2 linked regions of the Danio rerio genome follow. The protein of the gene in region 1 purifies or fractionates together with the protein of each later gene. This does not show direct contact. Links are inferred from orthologs where the notes say so. Each region holds a gene or a part of one and is shown on either strand. Other genes may lie near its edges. The genes, in order: coro1a and ift57.

Region 1 (3,834 bases):
TGTATTGGAATAACCAAAAATACATTGTGTGGTTGACGACAAAAATCATTAAAATATTATGTAATAATCAGAAGATATGTTGTGGATTTCCTACCATAAATCATTAAAACTTAATTTCTGAGTTGTCAAGTGCATAAGCACTTTATTTAGACAAATTTAAAGGGGATTTTTTCATTATTCTCAAATTTCAGATTTTCAAATATTTGTATGTCATCTAAATACAATCCTATCATATCAAACCAAACATCAATGGAAAGCTTATTTAATAGGTGGTTGTATTTTATAAGAAAAAATTTAAAAATGGACCCTTTCTGTCTGGTTTTGTGGTCTCTGGTCACAAATGTCATGTGACCAAACCATGAAGTCCTTGTCACTCACCATGACACTACAGTCTTCAGAGCCGCTGGCAATGATGTTGTCATTATGTGGGCAAAACTCAATGTCCAGCACGGGTCCAGTATGTCCACAGACAGTGGGTTGGGACATGTCAATACGACCCGTCTAAAACACAAAACAAAGGGTTACAGAGGAAAGCAAAGGAATGTAGAATATGAAAGCTGTATTGCTGACAAACAGAGCAGAAAGAGCACGAGAGATCTCAGACAGATGAGAAGGCTGTGTCAGCTGATCTCAATTTTATAGCTATGCCTTCAATTACGCCTAATAACTACCAACCCGTTTAGAGAGGACAGCACCATGCAGGAGTTTCTGGAGAGCACATTTACTCTTATTGTTAGATCTTAGAGGTCTGTGCAAGTCAATGTAGAGGAATGGTTTATGATTTATTACTCCCACACAGGGGATGCACTAATTTAAAAACTAGAAAATTGACTGAAATCCATGTTAAGCAAATACTGAAAACTCCTTTTATGTTACTTGAAATAATGCTGAAATGTAATCATGAAAAACACTAGAAGAAACTCTCTTTTCTGAATTTTTTACGTTATCAAAATAAAAGGTTAAAACTTAAAAAAGAAATAATGGTCAAAAATGACTGCATATGACTGGTAATATGATTTCATCAGGAGGGAATGCTAGCACCCAAATAAATTCTTCTGACAGTGACCTTTTTAAGATACAAACCTTAAATTGTATCCACTACTTAATTGAATTAATTTCTTTAATTTAATTTCTTTATATATGCACACACACACACACACACACACACATATATATATATATATATATATATATATATATATATATATATATATATATATATATGTATGTATGTATGTATACACACATATATATATATATATATATATATATATATATATATATATATATATATATACATACACAGTGGAAGTCAGAATTATTAGCTCCCCTTTTCATTTTTTTTATTTTTAAATATTTTCCTAATGATGTCTAAATGAGCAAGGAAATGTTCACAGTATGTCTAAATGTCTGATAATATTTTTTCTTCTGGAGAAAGTCTTATTTGTTTTATTTCGGCTAGAATAAAAGCAGTTTTTAATTTTAAATATCCATTTTAAGATCAATGTTATTAGCCCATTTAAGCTACATTTTTGGTGGCAAATAGTTTACTATTAGTTTGTTTGATCATACCAACTTTGCTTTTGCCTTACAGCAATTTTATGTAAAGAATTCTAATGTTGTGTATATGTATCTATTTTATTTCATTTTCTGTAAAGCCTCGCATGGACAGGTGTTGAGAATTAGCAAGTCTGCTTAAACACTTGAACAAATGCATTTGGTTGTCCAGTGTAATTGTGATGTCCATGTCAAACAAACAAATAAATAAATAAATAAATATTACTAAATAAATTATAATAAAAAAACATCAAACGACATTCGAATTCAATGACTATCTAGTGACAAATATTTTAATTACAACACCTTTTTTTTTTCAAAGAGTCAAAATCCTGTCTACATTAACATATAATGAAAACAAAACATTAATTACAGATTAAATTACCGCCTTTATCATTTAAAGGGATTGCTCACCTAAAAATGAAAGTTCTGTCATCAATAACTCATCCTTCACTTGTTCAAAACATGTTTGAAATTCTTACTTCTGTCAAACGCAAAGGAAGATATTCTGAAGAATGTTGGAAAGCAGCAGCCATTGACTTCCATTAGTGTATTTATCTATGAATGTCCATGGCTGCTGGTTTCCATCACTCTTCAGAATATCTTCCTTTGTGTTCAATAGAAGAAAGAAATTCATAAAGGTTTATAACAACTTGAGTGTGAGTTAATGATGATGAAATTTAAATTTTAGGGTAAACTATCCCTTTAATCGAAAAACAAAAAGGAAAAGGATGTGCATTTTCTGCACAATGCTGCCTTTAATGCCACATGTGAACTCTGCAAGTTTGTGTAAAACCAGATGATGGCATTACGAGTCTCAAAAACTAGGCTTTCAAAACTTCCTCAAGCCACCCAAAACGAAATGAAAGGCCTTGACTCGAATTCTCGTGTTCATTGGGAAAACAATGGCAGCCATTGAGTTTAAGACGCACAGCAGATTGAACATGACAGAACTCCCATTCACTCGCCAGCGTAAAACTCACAAGTGCAGAAAGAGCGAACTATGAAAACAGATGAGCAGAGATGATGCACCGAGAAGATGAAACAAAACAATTGATGAAAAGAGGAAGACAGAAAACTTTCCATGCTGCAAATTATTTTGTAGCTATAATGCTTAACGAAGTGCAAACTACACATTCAAATTTAGTTTGATCACGATGAAGAAAGCGGGCACATCAAGATGAAGTTTAAGTGGCAGCTGTCCTTTTCTCACAGTTTTTGTCACTCACTCAATCTGCAAGCTGTCACCACATCCTGTGCAGCGCTGACAGCAACGCACTCCAAATATGGCAAAAACAAGATGCAAGAGAGCATAAAGAGAAGAGATGCTCGATCTGGTGACACGTACATACGAAACCCAACCTTGAACTTCCTTATTTAGACAAAAACTGCATGACACGTCTAGTGTTCAAAATGTAAAGACTATAGCAGAACATTTCCATCAGCTAATCGATTAAAAGTGCAAACAGGCCTAAAACTACTAACCTAAACTTTACTCTTTTAATATTTTAATAAAATACTGTCTTTGTTATTTGACTTTGGCTTTAAAAAGAGGTTAGATAGCTGAAGTTTTATGAGTCTGACTTGCTATCTGGATGCACCTTGCTCAGGGGCAGGACAATGAAGGCTCCTCCACCGCTGGCATCCACAATCATGGACACAAATTTGGGGTTGACGGAGCAGAAGTTGCTGTCCCAGGTCATCTGGGAGATCCTGATGTCATCGTAGCACTGGTCCGCCTTCACCGCCTGGCCAAAGACATGGCGAAACTTACTGGACCTGACCACCTTCCTAGACATGATGACCTGAGGAAAGACAGACAACAGGGATAGATGACCTCCCATCAGCAAACTAATGAAATGCACACACCATTTACTCAAATGTTTAGACATTTTAGGATTTGCTTTGTTCTGTTGTAAATAAAAGTAGCCATTGACGTCCATAGTGTTTCTTACACTGTTAAAGACTTTTGTAAATGACGCAGTATTTCACTCTAATATGAATTGTATTTTCCTGTAGGATTCCCAGTATTGGGTTGCGGCTGGGAGGGCATCCACTGCATAAACCATATGTTAGATAAATTGGTGGTTCATTCTGCTGTGGCGACCCCAGATTAATAAAGGGACTAAGCCGAAAAGAAAATGAATGAATGAATGAATGATTTTACAGTAGGACAGTTATGCAGTATGTTACTGTATTTTAAAGTTGCATTGTGAAAATGACTATATTTTGCAGTTAAGATAAATCTCAACACTGCAAATACATATACTAAATGTT
Region 2 (4,585 bases), on another chromosome or scaffold:
ACTGATGGGTACAGCGGCCTGACAGACAGAGAATACAAGCTCTAGATGTGTTTGTATACAGTAAGAACAGACAGTTAGACAAATTCGTGGTTCTAAAAGATTTCTGTGCCCCTAAACCACCATAGAAAATGATCTCAACCTGTTGTAAGCTCATATGTGTGGTTTAAACTTTGTCACTTCATGCAATTTTTTTATTTTTTATTATTATGAGGATGTTTCAAACACAAAGCCTCCAGGAGCCTACATATAAAAGCATTTGTATCCAGAATCAAAAATATAGATTAGATTTGTGTAAAAGCGAATACTATTTAAATAAAATAAAATGTATCAGATGCTTTAGTCAACATAAACTAGTTAAATTTGTATATAGAGCAGATTTGAAGATATCCAAGGAATCATATTAATTTAGCGAAGATGCATTCATGTGGTCAAATGTACATGGCACTATTTGAACAAATCAGATAGCTATGCAGTCAGCAAAAACGCATGAAGTGACCAAGTGTAAACAAGCCCATAGTAGGGGCGGATTTAACCAATAAGCAAGGTAAGTGGCCGCTTAGGGCCCCAATAAATATCTAGAAGTATAGATTATACTTATAAACTATATATAAAACATAATTTCTATCATATTTTGTATAGTGAGATATTTTGTACATAATTAAATATTATTTAATATACAGTAAAATCTTATATTATTTTAATAATGTAATGTTTTGTAATATTAATATTATGAAACAAAATATCCAGCTCCCCTATCATGGAGCAGTCCAGCAGTAAATCTATGATTATATATATATATATATATATATATATATATATATATATATATATATATATATATATATATATATATATATATATATATATATATATATATATATATATATATTTGTTATCGTATGTAAAGGTTGTAAAGATTGCATTAAGATAAACCATAAAAAAAGAAGATTGAGTTACAGAAAATAAATACATTTAAATAAAAAAAAGTAGAAAAGGTGCATCAGGACTTGGGCCCCATGGCTGAAGTTGCCTAGGGTCCCCGATTCGCTAAACCCGCCCCTGCCCATAGTGTGTGCTGTTAAATATATGTGTACCTGTTCCAGGCAAAACCTTTACTCTTTAGTGCCTTTTCTACCAGCTGGTCTAGAACATAACAGACATGCTCTCCAGACCCAGTCTTCAGCTTAGATGGGGGGAAATCAACCTGGCCTCCCTACAAATCACATACAGATGATAATCATAAACCTAAATGCATACACCCATACACATTTGTGAGGGTGTAATCAGTGTTATCGCCTCACCAGGGTTCGAAGTTCAGACAGGATGTTGGAGACTGTGGCGTTGGGGTCGTCATACTCCTGTGGTGTGTCGAACGGTCGCCCGCATAATGTAATCAACCAGGCAGCAATTACACTGAACATATAGAACTGCTCACCGGGATTTGACAACACATGAGGGCTGGAGACAAAATAATGTCTGAAAAATACAGAGTATTAAGGCAAAAGTTGAAATGAAAAATCAGTCATTATTTCCAGTGCTCAGCATGTATAAGTACACCCCTCACAAATCTATCTTTTAAATTTATATTTTGAATAGGAAGCTATACAGTATTATATTTGTGCATATACATTAGATTAGTCAGTACTGAAGCCAAATCTAGAACTTATGTAACTAAATAAAACTAGTACAACCAAATGTATATGTTATAGAAAAATATTAAATACAATTTTTAAAAAGCAAAAACAAGAAAAAGAAAATAAAATTTAGTTGAAATTTTGTAATATTTTGCTTGAATTTAATTGTATTATCTTTCAGTTTATAAATATGTTTGGTGAGCAAAATATTATTTATATAAATATATCTGTTTAATAAATCTGCTTTGTTTAAATGCACCAAAACACATTGCCTATATTCACTGAAGATATATACATTTTCAAAATGTGGTGTACTCACTGAGCACTGTACTCACTCTGATGTTCTTATTTACTTTTTCTGATGTCTACGTTATAACACGCAGTCTCTTTGATATCAACTTCTTCAAACATTGTTCAAAAGTATATTATCCTGACATGTTAGAGACCTTAGTTCCTCTTCAGAATACAACATAAGATATTTTAGATTAAATCTGAGAGCTCTCTCATCTTCCATAGACAGCAATGGTTCTGAGTCATCCAGAAAAATAACAAAAAACATCCTTAAAACAGAAATACGCCTCCAGTGGTTCAATCAGAATTTTATCAATCTGCGAGAGATGCTTTTGTGTGTACAACAAATAAAAATAGCAACGGCTATTTCTGTTCTTATTCTACTATTAAACTTATATTAATTTAAAGGTCTTAAACGTGTGAACACAAAAGAAGATATTATAAAAAATGTTGGAAAGCAACAGCCACTGACTGATAATATTTTTGTCAATATAGTTTCCATCATTCTAGTAAATGTTGACAGAATTTTCATTTTATGATAATATATGATAAGTGGATTTTACTATAAACTGACGGCTAAAAAGTAACTCTATCTACTTTGCAACGTTCATTTTCTTACAGGTTCCATATTATAAAAGTGAATGGGGACCAGAAACTAACTTTACTCGTTTACCAATGTTGTCCAAAATGTTATCTTATATGTCCAACCGAAGAAAAAAACTCATCCAGGTTTGTAAAACCCGATACTAAATTCATGATGAGAGATTTCACTTTAACTGTAATGCTATTTACATCAAATACTTTCTAATCCACATTCCGAGTCTCTCTTACCTGGACAGAGGTTTGATGTTGTGTTTGTCCAGAACGTGCTGCTCATAATCGAGAACCTTCAGTTTATCCAGCAGATCCTCCATCAACACGAACATCTGATAGACAGAGCCCGGACCGCGCTCTTCCTCCTCCGCCATCCCTCTCTCTTTCTCTTTTCACATTTAACAATCTTTACTCGCAAAGGGAAATTAGTTTAAAGCTTTTATTAACACTGCAGGTACGAATACAGACAGATATATACACGGCTATTCTGCAGCAGCGGATTCGGGATGTTGTAGTTACTGTCGTCAGGAATGACGTCACACACAGCGACGGCCATGACAGCAAACAAAGTAAAAGTATCTACTGAATAGTCACAGATAATAAACAGAAAGCTATAAATAATCAATAATCAATGACTATGCATAATTATTGAATAGAAAAAAAGCAGCGAGCCGAAATCTGATTTTGGCTAAGAGTTTTATAATGTTACCGTGTGTAGTCTGACAGTGCTGCCACACGCTGGAGCGGAGAAGAAACGACTCCATATCTAACGTTACTCCAATCGAAAAGATATGTTGCTTTTCTTGCTGGTTCTTTGAAACTGACTCTTTATTAATAACATAATTAATAATAAATGCGTGTGTGTTAACAATAAGAATGGAAAACAAATAATTATTATCATCACCACACTTTCAAAGTACAAACCATGGTTGATTTCTAGTTGCCAGAACTGTTATGTTTAGTCACAGTAAATTACCTCTGTTTATTGTTTTATGTATAGTAAAACCATTGTAAGGGCATAAAATACGTTATGTTACAAAAACCAGAGAGTAATTATTTTGGTTTTTACAAGTTTAAACGGTGATTTTTAAGTATTTTGGTTTTCAACACAACTCAATGTCTGACACATGAAAGTCATTTATAGTCAATGTTATGGTTTAAGGTTATCTGTGCTGATCTAATTATGTTTATTTTTTTTCTTTATGCTATAAATGTGGTTACTTATTATTATATGAAAAATCTTCAGTCTTTTGAGTCTTTTAAGTCGGTTGTGCTCACTAGACAATGAATGATAACTGCTTTGAAAAAGTCAAGGCAGAATTTTCTGCAATACTGTTCCTTCGGTATATGGAGGATTGTTTTATTCAATTTTTATTATTATTATTTTTTTTAAGACAACAGTATCTTTAGCAGAATAGATATCCAAACATGCTGTTCGAAATCGTAAATAAATCAGTGTTTTTGAAACTAATGAAGACAAGAGAAGTCCATTCATTTCATTTATTTAGCCTGACATGTTTACAGTCCCACAATATTTTAAATTGTTCTCAAAATAAAAAATATATTGTATTGAAAGGGGGAAATTTTTTTTTTTTTACTAAGACATTTAAAAAGAATATATTTTAGAGCAGTAATCACAATATTTTTATCCAAGGTTATCATATCAACATAATCTTATACCGGCCCATGCCTAGTGCTCACCAAAGTTGTATTATTTACAGCAAATAAGTAATATTAAAATATTACAATTCATAATACTTTTTCAGGATTCTTTGATGGACTTGAATTTACAAAAGTACTGCATTTACTATAAGGATATTTTATGTCACAATAATAAACCCTTTATTGTCACTTTTTGATTAATGCTCTTGCTCAATATTAAGATAAAACCTAAAAAACCTTTTGAACACTGTTTTATAATTTTACACATTTTCTCCCATATTTATTTTCTGAATGAGAAAAGCTGTTTGAATGATGAATTGTATTTAACACATTATTGTATTCTGTTGTCCCTAGATAAACTGTGCAGCAGTGTGTTCCTCGTGTTAGGTCTCTATGTGTTGGGC

What was found.
Region 2: the proteins of coro1a (region 1) and ift57 purify together in Homo sapiens (affinity purification with mass spectrometry; 3 studies listed by BioGRID and IntAct, counting the BioPlex papers as one, with this or other methods). This does not show direct contact. The link is inferred for Danio rerio from reciprocal best matches to the Homo sapiens genes CORO1A and IFT57.

Annotation. Positions count from the first base shown.
Region 1 is NC_133178.1:29,722,568-29,726,401, forward strand, and holds part of coro1a (coronin-1A), read right to left. Parts: intron 3,655-3,834; exon of another isoform or gene 3,501-3,654; coding exon of another isoform or gene 3,357-3,500; coding exon 3,159-3,356; intron 502-3,158; coding exon 379-501; intron 1-378. UniProt on the Homo sapiens protein: May be a crucial component of the cytoskeleton of highly motile cells, functioning both in the invagination of large pieces of plasma membrane, as well as in forming protrusions of the plasma membrane involved in cell locomotion.
Region 2 is NC_133177.1:45,212,016-45,216,600, reverse strand, and holds the start of ift57 (intraflagellar transport protein 57 homolog), read right to left. Parts: upstream 3,032-4,585; 5' UTR 2,894-3,031; coding exon 2,757-2,893; intron 1,477-2,756; coding exon 1,302-1,476; intron 1,214-1,301; coding exon 1,095-1,213; intron 19-1,094; coding exon 1-18. UniProt on the Homo sapiens protein: Required for the formation of cilia. Plays an indirect role in sonic hedgehog signaling, cilia being required for all activity of the hedgehog pathway.